4 linked regions of the Saccharomyces cerevisiae S288C genome follow. The gene in region 1 interacts genetically with each later gene. Each region holds a gene or a part of one and is shown on either strand. Other genes may lie near its edges.

Region 1 (3,092 bases):
ATCTTTTATGAGAATAAGGGGAAGCTGCATTACAAAGATATCCCTGTCCCCGAGCCTAAGCCAAATGAAATTTTAATCAACGTTAAATATTCTGGTGTATGTCACACCGATTTACATGCTTGGCACGGCGATTGGCCATTACCTGTTAAACTACCATTAGTAGGTGGTCATGAAGGTGCTGGTGTAGTTGTCAAACTAGGTTCCAATGTCAAGGGCTGGAAAGTCGGTGATTTAGCAGGTATCAAATGGCTGAACGGTTCTTGTATGACATGCGAATTCTGTGAATCAGGTCATGAATCAAATTGTCCAGATGCTGATTTATCTGGTTACACTCATGATGGTTCTTTCCAACAATTTGCGACCGCTGATGCTATTCAAGCCGCCAAAATTCAACAGGGTACCGACTTGGCCGAAGTAGCCCCAATATTATGTGCTGGTGTTACTGTATATAAAGCACTAAAAGAGGCAGACTTGAAAGCTGGTGACTGGGTTGCCATCTCTGGTGCTGCAGGTGGCTTGGGTTCCTTGGCCGTTCAATATGCAACTGCGATGGGTTACAGAGTTCTAGGTATTGATGCAGGTGAGGAAAAGGAAAAACTTTTCAAGAAATTGGGGGGTGAAGTATTCATCGACTTTACTAAAACAAAGAATATGGTTTCTGACATTCAAGAAGCTACCAAAGGTGGCCCTCATGGTGTCATTAACGTTTCCGTTTCTGAAGCCGCTATTTCTCTATCTACGGAATATGTTAGACCATGTGGTACCGTCGTTTTGGTTGGTTTGCCCGCTAACGCCTACGTTAAATCAGAGGTATTCTCTCATGTGGTGAAGTCCATCAATATCAAGGGTTCTTATGTTGGTAACAGAGCTGATACGAGAGAAGCCTTAGACTTCTTTAGCAGAGGTTTGATCAAATCACCAATCAAAATTGTTGGATTATCTGAATTACCAAAGGTTTATGACTTGATGGAAAAGGGCAAGATTTTGGGTAGATACGTCGTCGATACTAGTAAATAATAGCGTGTTACGCACCCAAACTTTTTATGAAAGTCTTTGTTTATAATGATGAGGTTTATAAATATATAGTGGAGCAAAGATTAATCACTAAATCAAGAAGCAGTACCAGTATTTTTTCTATATCAAGTAGTGATAATGGAAATAGCCCAAATTTGGCTTCCGTCGACACATAGAACGTTTGAGAGACATTATCACCATCAAGCATCGAGCCGCCCAAACCTAACCGTATAAGTTTTTTCACGTTTTTGATTTTTCCTTGCACACTTCGATATTACTCTCACGATAAAAGGGCCGAAGAGAATATTTTTCTTGAACATCCAGAATTTTAATTCGGAGAAATTTCACAAGCCGCCGATTTAAGGGTCCTGTGTTCTTAATAATCAGCCTCTCTCAAAGCAGGTAAGAGGCAGTCTTTCTTTTAACAATAGGAGACATTCGAACTAAAACATCAGCCCCAAAAATGCGCTTGAAGGTCATTAGGATTTGGATTTCTTCCTCATTTTTAAAGGCGCCCCTTTTCGTTTTAGTCATGCTGGGCTAGACTAGCACGTAGTGTATGGAATCAAACTGATGCCGTCCCCTGAATTATATTTACAATTCAGAAACGTCTTTGAACATTTATAATTAAATTATAAAACAAAAGGAATTTGTAAAAAAGACTTTCAAAAGATGATCCAATAAACTAGATTAAAAACCCAATATAAGAAGAAGAATGTGTGGCATTTTTGGCTATTGCAATTTTTTAATTGAGAAGACAAGAGGAGAAATCATCGACACTTTAATCGAAGGGTTACAGGCATTGGAGTACAAGGAATATGACTCCAGTGGAATTTCGATCCAAGGTGATGAGCTGGAGTCTCTCAATATTTATAAGCAAACCGGTAAAATAAGCAGTTTGAAGGAAGAAATCGACCTTTACAATCTTAATAAGAACCTGCCCTTTATTTCGCATTGTGGCATTGCCCATACTAGGCGGGCAACACATGGAGGGCTAAGACGTGCAAATTGTCATCCACATAACTCAGATCCATCTAATGAATTTGTTGTGGTACACAACGGGGTTATTACCAACTTCGCTAATTTGAAAGCCTTATTGATGGCAAAGGGCTATGTGTTCAAAAGTGACACTGATACCGAATGTATTCCTAAACTGTACAAACACATTTATGATACAAGCATTGAACTCGGGTACAACCTCGATTTCCATGTATTAACAAATTTAGTACTTAAAGAATTGGAAGGCTCTTATGGTCTGCTATGCACTTCTTCTCATTTTCCCGATGAAGTGGTTGCCGCAAGAAAGGGTTCCCCGTTAGTTATTGGTGTTAAAGGTAAAACTGACATGGACGTAAACTTTGTCGAGGTGGAATATTTGGATCAAGAAGAAGACTACTTGAAGCTTAATACTCAAACCAAGAGTTCTGGTAATGTCTTGGCTGCCGCACCTGTAAAATATAACACTTGTTTAAGGAAGTCACCCCCCTTCGTTCACAATACCTGAGAAACTCTACAACTTCTACATTCAATCATGGCTCATCCACAGAAACGCCAGCCGAGAACGGCTTGCCGCGACCCATGGAATTCTATTTGTCATCCGATTGTGCATCACTAGCGCGGTATGTGAGTAAAGTAGTATATTTGGAGGATAATGATATTGCCCATATCTATGATGGGGAGCTTCATATCCATTGTTCTAAAATTGGTTCCGAGGACTTTTCATTTAGAACAGTTCAAAAATTAGAATTGGAGTTGTCCAAAATCAAAAAAGGCCCTTACGATAATTTTATGCAAAAGGAAATATACGAGCAGTGTGAAACAACAAAAAATGTCATGAGAGGAAGAGTTGACGCCTTTACAAACAGAGTAGTTTTGGGAGGACTAGAAAATTGGTTGACAGAATTGAGAAGAGCAAAACGAATAATAATGATTGCATCCAAGGCCTCCTTCCATTCATGCCTAGCTGCCCGTCCCATCTTTGAGGAGTTAATGGAAGTTCCAGTAAACGTTGAATTGGCCTTGGATTTTGTTGACCGCAATTGTTGCATTTTCAGGAACGATGTTTGCATATTTGTTTC
Region 2 (4,032 bases), on another chromosome or scaffold:
TGAGAAAAATAGCATTGGTCAATCATACAGAACGTAACATCAAAAAACAACCGTTTACATATATATAATCACTTGTCTAAAATTGATTGAAATTGCATATGAGAAAATATATGATAATGACAATAATTTTCTTTGAGCACAATTAGTTTATTTGGCAACTTGCTCTTTATTATTAGTAAATATAGCACATATTCATATAAAACACATCTTCAGTGGGATTACCTAGTTGATGGTGCCAGGAATTTTCCTATCGTCAACGAGCTGAAAATTTTATTATTTTTATTAATAACATAATGTGAGACTCCTGGTTTGACATTTAATTTTACGTATTAGTCGAATTTTGTTCTTGCCTACAATAAAAAGACAATTAAGCCGCAGGCAGTCTCATTCTTTATTACAAAAACAAAACGATAGAATTTAGAGCACAAGTAAGAGATGGTAACAAAGTCACGGCTCCCGGATGTAGTATGTCGTCAAATAATAAGTTCGTGAAATTAATAATTAGGTTATAAATCGTAAAAAATTGAAAATATTAATTATGACGAAGTAGGCACAGATTTCTTGCTGCCAGTGTTGCTGTTGCTGTTAACACCAGATTCATCTGAGACAGTGCCATCATTCTGGTGGAACTCCGCATGTAAAAGTTTACCTACCCTATTCTCAATATAACCGTTGTCTGGGTAGTTGACTGGGGATTCGCATCCAGTAAAAATGAAAATGTCATATATGAGTGCTCCAGCAATACCGCCGGCAATTGGACCACCCCAGGCTCCCCATGTCCACCACCAATGTGTGAGATGAAAAGCATGTGGACCATAGCCAATCATGGAAGCAAATATGCGAGGACCGAGATCTCTTGCAGGATTGATTGTGAAACTTGTTTGATATCCAAGGGCCATACCAATTGCAGCGACTAAGAATCCAATAATTAATGCGGTCATACCATTGCCAGGTGGAGCATTACTATCATCCAATAGCGCCATCAAACAACCCACAAGTATAGAGGCTCCTATGAATTCGTCAAAGAAGGCATTTCTCCACGTGACGTAAGACTTTGGATCAGTAAACAAACACGCACCGGTCGCCGTTGTTCTTATGTGCGGACCTCCCTCAAATTCTGTGATAGAGCTCCAAAAATAACCATAAGCCATAGCTCCTCCAAAATATGCACCGATAATCTGAGCAACAATATATACGGGCACCTTTTTCCAGGGGAATTTTCGAAAAATTGCCATTGAAATCGTAACAGCAGGGTTAATATGACCACCACTAATACCGCCTGCGACGTAAACACCAAGCATACAACCGAACCCCCATGCAAATGATAGGGATTCATAGGAACCACCACTACCTTTTGTTACAGTTGCTTGAAGATTACCACCAACACCAAAAATGACAAGAACTAGTGTCCCGAGAAACTCCGCAAACGGTTCTCGCATATGATAGCGAATTTTTGCCCAAAAGTTAGGAAATGTCATTATATCCGCGTCTTCATCTTCTGAGGCACCAATTTCATTACCATCTAATGCACTCGTACTTTTATTTTCCTCTTCAATAAGTTCTTCAGGAAGCTTCGTATAAACCGGAGTAGAACCATCGAGGGTTTGCATGTTCTTTAATTTTCTGGATTCTGCATCGGCTATGGAGGATGCGTAGCTTTCATCGCCTAATGAAAAATTGACATTATGCGAAGTACGCTTTTTCTTACGTGAAACATTCTCAATATGCGTGTTAGAGGGCTTTTGTGGGTTTTCAGGCTCTAACTTAGTAGGTTTCACATCTGCACCAACAGTATTATCGCGTTGCGTTTGAGCTTCGATGTCACCAAGCTTTTTACCCGGTGCTGCACCTCTAAGGAGCCTTTTCCAGTCTTTCACTGACGTAGTAGAACCCCCCCTTGAAATATCGGTCGACCCTCGTCTCGATGATGCGCGGGACCTTGCATCCATATTCTTTTGTATCATCTTTGCTGCCAAGCCTCGATCCAATACATGCGGTAACGGCTGATTTAAACTCCAAACAGGCCTGTTCCTGCTACTACCCATAGTTGGATTTAATTGCCGATATAGTGGGTCTACATAATTATTACTGTTGCCTTGATTTACCCCCCTGGATAGATAATCTTGCATTATACGTGCTTGCTCAGCATCTGAAAAACTGTTTAAAGTCTTCAAATTAGGCAAAGAATAAGTAAAACCCATGGAAGGGACCTGTGGTTGTACCGAATCCTTCCTCTCGTCAACCACTTTTTTCAAGGGTGTCAAAGCAGAAAGTTTATTTCTCGATGATCCTCCAGTTTCAATTGCTTTTCGAGTCTCACCTAGCTTTCGCCTCAAGAGAGTGCTGTCATTTTCGTTATTTTCCCTAGATTTTTTGACACTTTCTTCCCAAGCTATTTTACCATTAGGTTCTTCTTTTAGCGTTGGTGGCCGTGTACTCTCGGAAGAGGAGGATGACCTCCCAGATTCGTAACTCATTACTTGGGTCTAGATCATATATCAGAGGAGCGTTATACTGTGCGATTATACGCTTCTTTTTATATGAATAAGGGGGAGACATGGTGAAAAGGTACCAGAACTTTTGATCGACCAAGACTAGGTAAAGCTCAAACAACGTTTATAACTCAAATTTCCGGGGTAAGTGGGGTACCGGAAAATTATGATATTCCGGAGCGGAGTTATCAACGGAGAAAACTAGGCCTTCTGATGGAACTTAATTTAAAAAATTAATCACAACCTATGCATATTATTCCCGCAGAGGGTGATTGTGAGTAAATCCCTGCACAGAAACAATTCCCGCCAGGCCATAACTAGATTCTAAATTATTTAACTCATAATTTCATGAAATCGTATCGTAGTACCAAATAGGGAGATATTGAGCCAAGTAAATTCTTACGTCACCATAGTTGGATAATTAAGTACTTGATATTGTATAAGGATCTCAACAATACGAGAAGGGGAAAATACCGCAATGTGTGATTGAATTTTCAAACTTTGGATCATTAAATATATATAAATGAACCCAGATCAGCCCTTTTTTTTTCTAGTATTGTCTGTAAAGTGTATTTTACCTCAAAATCTGACAAAACCCAACTACAATTGACTAAATAATCATGTCTCACAAACAATTCAAATCAGATGGAAACATCGTTACTCCCTACCTACTTGGCCTTGCTCGAAGCAATCCCGGCCTTACAGTGATTAAGCACGACAGAGTGGTTTTCCGGACTGCGTCAGCTCCTAATTCAGGGAACCCTCCTAAAGTTTCATTGGTTTCTGGAGGTGGCAGTGGTCATGAGCCAACGCATGCCGGTTTTGTTGGTGAAGGTGCCTTAGATGCGATTGCAGCAGGTGCCATTTTTGCTTCTCCTTCAACTAAACAGATCTATTCTGCTATTAAAGCTGTTGAATCTCCTAAGGGTACCTTGATCATTGTAAAAAATTACACCGGTGATATTATACATTTTGGTCTCGCTGCTGAAAGAGCTAAAGCTGCTGGAATGAAAGTCGAACTGGTTGCTGTAGGAGATGATGTCTCTGTCGGTAAGAAGAAAGGTTCTTTAGTCGGGCGTCGAGGTCTCGGAGCCACCGTATTGGTGCATAAAATTGCTGGGGCAGCCGCTTCTCATGGACTGGAGTTGGCAGAAGTTGCCGAAGTTGCTCAGTCAGTAGTTGACAATAGTGTCACAATTGCGGCATCTCTTGATCACTGCACGGTTCCTGGCCACAAACCTGAAGCCATTTTGGGCGAGAATGAGTATGAAATCGGTATGGGTATTCATAACGAGTCTGGTACCTATAAGTCTTCTCCGCTGCCATCGATTTCTGAGCTCGTTTCCCAGATGCTTCCTCTTCTTCTCGATGAGGATGAAGACCGTTCTTATGTGAAGTTTGAGCCCAAAGAGGACGTAGTTCTTATGGTTAACAACATGGGTGGTATGTCTAATCTAGAATTGGGTTATGCTGCAGAGGTCATTTCTGAACAATTGATTGATAAGTATCAAATTGTGCCCAAGAGAACGATTACTGGAGC
Region 3 (3,405 bases), on another chromosome or scaffold:
TTGTAGATTTCTTGCCTAGGAAGACTAAATACGTTTAATTCTAAGATTAGGAGCCCATGCATTTAAAGTTGCTTTTTGCCTGTGCGGGACAATTTTATTAGTCAGTATGGACATCTCCGCGGGGAATTTTTTTATCGGCAGAGCTGTTTAGACAAAGGATATAGATAGTATAAGGTGTTAGTACACACATTTCAACATAGTTATATTAGGAAGATTGCCACAAATTTCCTCTTTTTTTTTTTTTTCTTGTTTTTATTACACCTCCGCCCCTTGAATACCTTAGAGGTTAAGAAGTGAAATGCCAAGAGAAAGCCTAATAGGACACACAGTATTTACCACGGGAAAAGCGCGGGATATTTGAATCAGCTGGAGATTATTATGTACGCCATGTATATTTTTAGAGACGGCTTGTAACGGGTGCCAAGATATTCCATATTTTTATGTCTCAAAAAGGAAGAAAAGAGCTACGAGCACGTGCAAATATATGAACTTCAACACCTGTAGAAACTCGATAGTGAATAAATCAATCACAGTGCTTTCCTTGAAATAAGCTTCTGTCTGAACTTTAACAGTGATTTTTTTTTTATAGAACAGGCCTTTTCATCTGCAGAGATATGTCTAGTCTCGTAGGTTTTGACTCGTAACTTTGACTTCTGCATCTGGATCGTCAAAGCAACCCATACTTGACTTGATTACATTAGCATCAAAGAAAATCGTGCCAACGCCTTTTAGTCATGTCGAACGGTAGAGGAGGAGAAAGAGGGAGCTATCAAATTTAAAATTCGCAAACAAGCTGTTGAGAGCGACATAATAGCAATATTGTCGGGCCCCTTAAACACGTTTCATTAGTGTTTTAAGTGCCAAGCCAATGTGTTAGTAAGCTTGTAAAGGAATGCACGTATTAGAAAGTGAGCAACTTAAAAGTGAGCAAATATGATTAAAGTAGTATGCCTCCGAAGCTCGTCTTGTACTGCAAACTAAGCACAGAATATGCCGCACAAATGTCGGTGCCTATTATACATATGCTTTTCGTTATGTGTCTTAACAGACCTGACCGTTAACGGCAACAGAGAAAAGGAGCACTACCGACGGCTTTTTGCTTCTGGCCTATTTAGTGCCTGAGAATTTTGTGCGTGTTTCCTAGTGTCCGGCGGGCTTGACCTAGTCCACACTTCCAACAAGCACAAGCAGCGTGCTTCCTCACACTGGCGAATGCACCCAGAGTCGGCGTTGCCCGAAGTAAGAACCCTACCGCTACTCTGGCGCAGGCGCAGAGGAGCCACAGCCCTTTAAGACGCAAAAAAAGTAAAGCGGCAAAAGAAAAAACTGTCACTTTCGGACCGTTGGGTTATCCACGGGGTTTTCTGAGCACTCATGATCGGTAGCGGTATATTTCTGATCTCGCTCATTTTCTGTCAAATCGTCCTGATAATGGACGAAGACTGTACGTAAAGGGCAATTTTAAGAGACACAAAAGAATCCCACGAGAATTACTACTGTTGATTTTTGTGATTGGCTAGATAAGAAACCTTATCCGCTCACGCGCGTATTACTTCCTTCTTCGGATTCAGATTTCTTTCTGTGGGAACGGGTCATTTCTGCCATCTTACGTCTCTCAGCTTTTCTCTTTTGTTGAACCTTAATTTATTCATGTACATCAAGCTGTAGTTTGTTTTTTTCTTTTGGTAATTAATTTTTGTCCTTTTGTTTTCTTACAGCGTGTATATATTAATGATTAATTTTCTATGACTGATTTCGTCGCGCCCGGCGTTTTCTTGTCTCTTAATGCCTCCTGTTTCTGTTAATTGGTAAGATTATGTTAAATTGGTCAAGATATATACTAATACAATTTTTTAGTTGATCTTCCCACCCTTGTTTTCAAGCGATACCACGCCTATCCAGTGCTACTGATCGCTACTTGCCGAGCCCCTACTTTTATGCTAACAACCTTCGAGAATAGTTACATTCGAAGATGAATTATAACTGCGAAATACAAAACAGGAACAGTAAGAATGTTGACAATCAAGTCAGTCTACCCCCTATCCAAGTTCTATTTAACTCCATAGAAAAACGGAGTATGCCCGAGTTGGCATTTTCGAACATAGAATACTCGCATGGGAACCTTCGGTCTAGTACCGAGGAACAAAACTATCCTGCGCCTGTGTTACTTCCACAGCATCATTCGATTGCGTATCCCGCAATTAATTCTGGCGGTACTAGTACTACTGCTACTCCTACTGCTTCTACAGTTGAAACGTCCAAGACGAGTAGCAGTGCTATGGATACACAATCTCAATATGGCAGTTCAAAGAAGTCAAAATCGGCGTCCGATGATGCAAAGCCCTGCTACAAATCCGCCCCAATATATGAAATAATCAATAAGGAAAAGGATGCGGGGGCACAATACAACAGGCCATTTTCGGATTTTGTAGAATCTAAATCAAGGAGGAAGCAAAATTCGGGCAGGAGGTCTAACCTGCCAAAGGAAACAGTGCAGATACTGAATACTTGGTTGCTGAACCACCTGAATAACCCCTACCCAACTCAACAAGAAAAGAGGGAGTTGTTAATCAAAACTGGGCTAACCAAGATTCAACTTTCTAATTGGTTCATAAATGTGAGAAGACGCAAAATATTTAGTGATTACTATACCCTGGTAAACTCAATTCCTAATGACAACGCGAATAATACCCCAGTGGAACGAGTTCAAAACGTCTCAGCATATCATAACACATTATCTGCCACAAATAATACTATGTACGATGCTACGTCAACCTGCTCCACGGATTATGAATTATCCAAGAGATTTGCTCATGCCCCCGTTACACGCCGTAAAAAACTAATTGATAGGCTGGAAGAATTGAAAAAGCTATCCAACCCTGATATGAATTGATCACTTATCAATGCATTACTTAAATATTCATATAATTATATCTATTACCATTTACATTTTATCGTTACTATATATAGTATTATCATGTCATTGAACGTGTTACGTCTATTATGTTACACTGATTTTTTTTTTTTTTTTTTACATAACAGCATCATGCAAGCCTTTAAAAATAATGTAGGTATGTATATATACAATAATATATATATATATATATATATCTGTGTGTAGAATCTTTCTCAGATATAAATTGATTGATTCTACTGAGGTACGTAGTTATCATCTTCTCTTTCTTCATCGAAACCTGGTCTGAAAGTACCCATTGCATCAGGAGGAGGGATATAATTATTCGTATTAGATTGTGAGCTACTGTTATCAAATCTGGAATGTGGTACGCCGACACGCTCTGCAAATGGAATGGCGAAGCCACCTCTGGATGCATCAAAATCGAACCTCAATTCATCGCTGACTTGACCACCGCTCTTACCACGACCAAACTGTCTTCCATCTTCAAA
Region 4 (2,840 bases), on another chromosome or scaffold:
TCTTCGTCAGCCAATTCAGCGTCAGCATCGGCTTCCTCAGCAGCTTTTTCCTGGGCTTCTTCGTACAAGGCCTTACCGTCGACGTCGAAGTGACCGTTTTCCTTGATGAAGTCGAATAAAGAGTCCAAGGATCTTGAACCTTGGTACACAACAGATTCGGACTTCTTACCACCTGGGTATAAGACGATTGTTGGGTAACCTTCAATTACGACGCCTCTGACATCGTTTTCAGTGTGGTCTAGTTTAGCAATCAAAACGTCGGATGTGGCGTTGGCGTAGGTATCAGCTAGTTCTTGGTAAGTTGGGGCCAATCTCTTACAGTGACCACACCATGGGGCATAGTACAAAACAAGAACGTCCTTCTTTGGGTCGTTGACGATTTCGTCATGGTTCTTACCGACCAATTGGAAGACAGAGGAATCTTGGTTCTCGAAGATCTCTTGGGACTTCACGATTGGGGAGGCATCACCTTTCAAGAAGTCCTTAACCAAAGATTCAATAGCCTTAGACTCCAACACGATCTTGTCGCTCAATTCGTCAAACGCCTCTTCAGAGAGTTGAGGCAAACCGTACTTCAAGTCTTCAGTCATGTCGTGGATGGCAAATAGAGGGAATTGTTCCTTCATGTTCAAGTTGCCGGCGTGTCTGCCGAATTTTCTGGCATCGATGCTAACAAAGTTCATTAGACCTCTGTTCTTTTTGGCCAACTCGGTAAAGAGAGGCTTGTATTCTTCCAATTCTTCCTCGTCATTGTAGAATAAGTAACCCAAAGGCAAACCGCTTTCGACGTATTGGGCGAAAACGGAACCGTCGATTTCACCAAAGTAGGGCAAGGCTTCCACTTGCAACCATTTTTCAAAAACATCAGCGTCAGCGATATCGGCTTTCTTACCGTTGTATACTACAGGCTCGTCCATGGCGGAGGGCAAGTAAATAGAAAGCTTGAAATCATCGTCTGCGTTTTCAGCGGAGACAAAGTCGTAGTCGTTGAAGTGTTTGTTGGCCATGGAGTAAAAGGTGGCGTTGAAGTCGGCGTCAATCTTACCGGATTGGACGATAACTGGAGTGACAAAAGTCTCGTTAGCAAGGTAAGCTGGTAGATCAGCAACAACGGCGACAGCCGGTTGGCTTTGCTTGATCATGAATTGGACAATGGCCTCGGCAGTTCTAGGTCCCTCGTAATCGATCGAGTTGTTAACATCGCTGTTTTTGAAAATCTTCAAGCTTGGGAACCCTGGAATGTTGTGTTCCATACACAGATCCTGGTTTTCAGTACAGTCGATCTGGGCCAAGGTAATGTTTTTCTCAACTAAAGTCTCGGCGGCTTTAACGTATTCAGGAGCCATGTTCTTACAGTGGCCACACCATGGAGCAAAAAACTCCGCAAGCACCAAGTCGTGCGACTGAATGTACTCATTGAAGGAGTCGGTGGCCAACTTAACGACAGCGGAGTCTTCAGGGGCCACAGCCTCTTGTTGGGCGAAAACAGAGGAGGCGAGCAGCAGGGAGGACCATGACAGGACGGCACCAGCAGAAAACTTCATAACGGGATAGATGTATGTTTTTCTTTATGTAGAGCTTGGCAGCTTTAAAATTACCAATTAGACATGCTGCTTGCAACAAGAAAATGCACGCGTAACAAAATATATATATATATATATATATATATGTATGTCCATACGGGTTTTTCGTTTTGTTGTGGTTGTAACAGCACAACAAAATGCTACACGGTGGCAAATTGGAAAAAGAGACTAGTGAGAGAAAAGGGAAAAAGAGGCGCCGCCCGACAGGGTAACATATTATCACGTGCAGCCCAGGATAATTTTCAGGACACGTGTTTCGAAAGGTTTGTCGCTCCGAAAAAATCAAAAAAAACAAAAAACGGGAAATAACAATAACGACAAAAATGGAAAAAAAAAAAATTTTAGACGCGGCGCTTGCACCCCGCATTATAAGTGGTGTGCCGACGGACGGTCAACCCCTTTCAGGGGGCCCCCTATCTTGGGCGTGGTGTCACACCACGCTCAAACGGTGGGCACTAATGAAAACGCGCCCATATAAATATCCGCTATCAACAGAACCCCCAACCCCCCCATCAGTGCCCAACTCAGCTTCCGTAAACCACAACACCACCACTAATACAACTCTATCATACACAAGATGTCATTCGACGACTTACACAAAGCCACTGAGAGAGCGGTCATCCAGGCCGTGGACCAGATCTGCGACGATTTCGAGGTTACCCCCGAGAAGCTGGACGAATTAACTGCTTACTTCATCGAACAAATGGAAAAAGGTCTAGCTCCACCAAAGGAAGGCCACACATTGGCCTCGGACAAAGGTCTTCCTATGATTCCGGCGTTCGTCACCGGGTCACCCAACGGGACGGAGCGCGGTGTTTTACTAGCCGCCGACCTGGGTGGTACCAATTTCCGTATATGTTCTGTTAACTTGCATGGAGATCATACTTTCTCCATGGAGCAAATGAAGTCCAAGATTCCCGATGATTTGCTAGACGATGAGAACGTCACATCTGACGACCTGTTTGGGTTTCTAGCACGTCGTACACTGGCCTTTATGAAGAAGTATCACCCGGACGAGTTGGCCAAGGGTAAAGACGCCAAGCCCATGAAACTGGGGTTCACTTTCTCATACCCTGTAGACCAGACCTCTCTAAACTCCGGGACATTGATCCGTTGGACCAAGGGTTTCCGCATCGCGGACACCGTCGGAAAGGATGTCGTGCAATTGTACCAGGAGCAATTAAGCGCTCAGGGTATGCCTATGATCAAGGTTGTTGCATTAACCAACGACACCGTCGGAACGTACCTATCGCATTG

The links.
Region 2: mutations in YMR084W (region 1) and AQY3 together harm fitness more than expected from each alone (negative genetic interaction), as found in Saccharomyces cerevisiae (one large-scale study listed by BioGRID).
Region 3: mutations in YMR084W (region 1) and CUP9 together harm fitness more than expected from each alone (negative genetic interaction), as found in Saccharomyces cerevisiae (one large-scale study listed by BioGRID).
Region 4: mutations in YMR084W (region 1) and YCL042W together harm fitness more than expected from each alone (negative genetic interaction), as found in Saccharomyces cerevisiae (one large-scale study listed by BioGRID).

What each region holds. Positions count from the first base shown.
Region 1 is NC_001145.3:434,899-437,990, forward strand, and holds YMR084W (putative glutamine--fructose-6-phosphate transaminase), read left to right. Parts: upstream 1-1,729; coding exon 1,730-2,518; downstream 2,519-3,092. Other genes in the region: alcohol dehydrogenase ADH3, read left to right, coding at 1-1,017; YMR085W (uncharacterized protein), read left to right, coding at 2,593-3,092. UniProt on the Saccharomyces cerevisiae protein: Involved in amino sugar synthesis (formation of chitin, supplies the amino sugars of asparagine-linked oligosaccharides of glycoproteins).
Region 2 is NC_001138.5:20,311-24,342, forward strand, and holds AQY3 (Aqy3p), read right to left. Parts: upstream 2,478-4,032; coding exon 537-2,477; downstream 1-536. Other genes in the region: DAK2 (dihydroxyacetone kinase), read left to right, coding at 3,113-4,032. UniProt on the Saccharomyces cerevisiae protein: Channel protein that mediates glycerol entry under ethanol stimulation. Does not seem to mediate glycerol uptake under standard conditions.
Region 3 is NC_001148.4:212,530-215,934, reverse strand, and holds CUP9 (Cup9p), read left to right. Parts: upstream 1-1,972; coding exon 1,973-2,893; downstream 2,894-3,405. Other genes in the region: nuclear cap-binding protein subunit CBC2, read right to left, coding at 3,151-3,405. UniProt on the Saccharomyces cerevisiae protein: Probable DNA-binding protein which plays a role in protecting yeast cells against copper toxicity. May regulate the expression of important copper homeostatic genes.
Region 4 is NC_001135.5:48,678-51,517, forward strand, and holds YCL042W (uncharacterized protein), read left to right. Parts: upstream 1-1,906; coding exon 1,907-2,266; downstream 2,267-2,840. Other genes in the region: protein disulfide isomerase PDI1, read right to left, coding at 1-1,544; GLK1 (glucokinase), read left to right, coding at 2,161-2,840.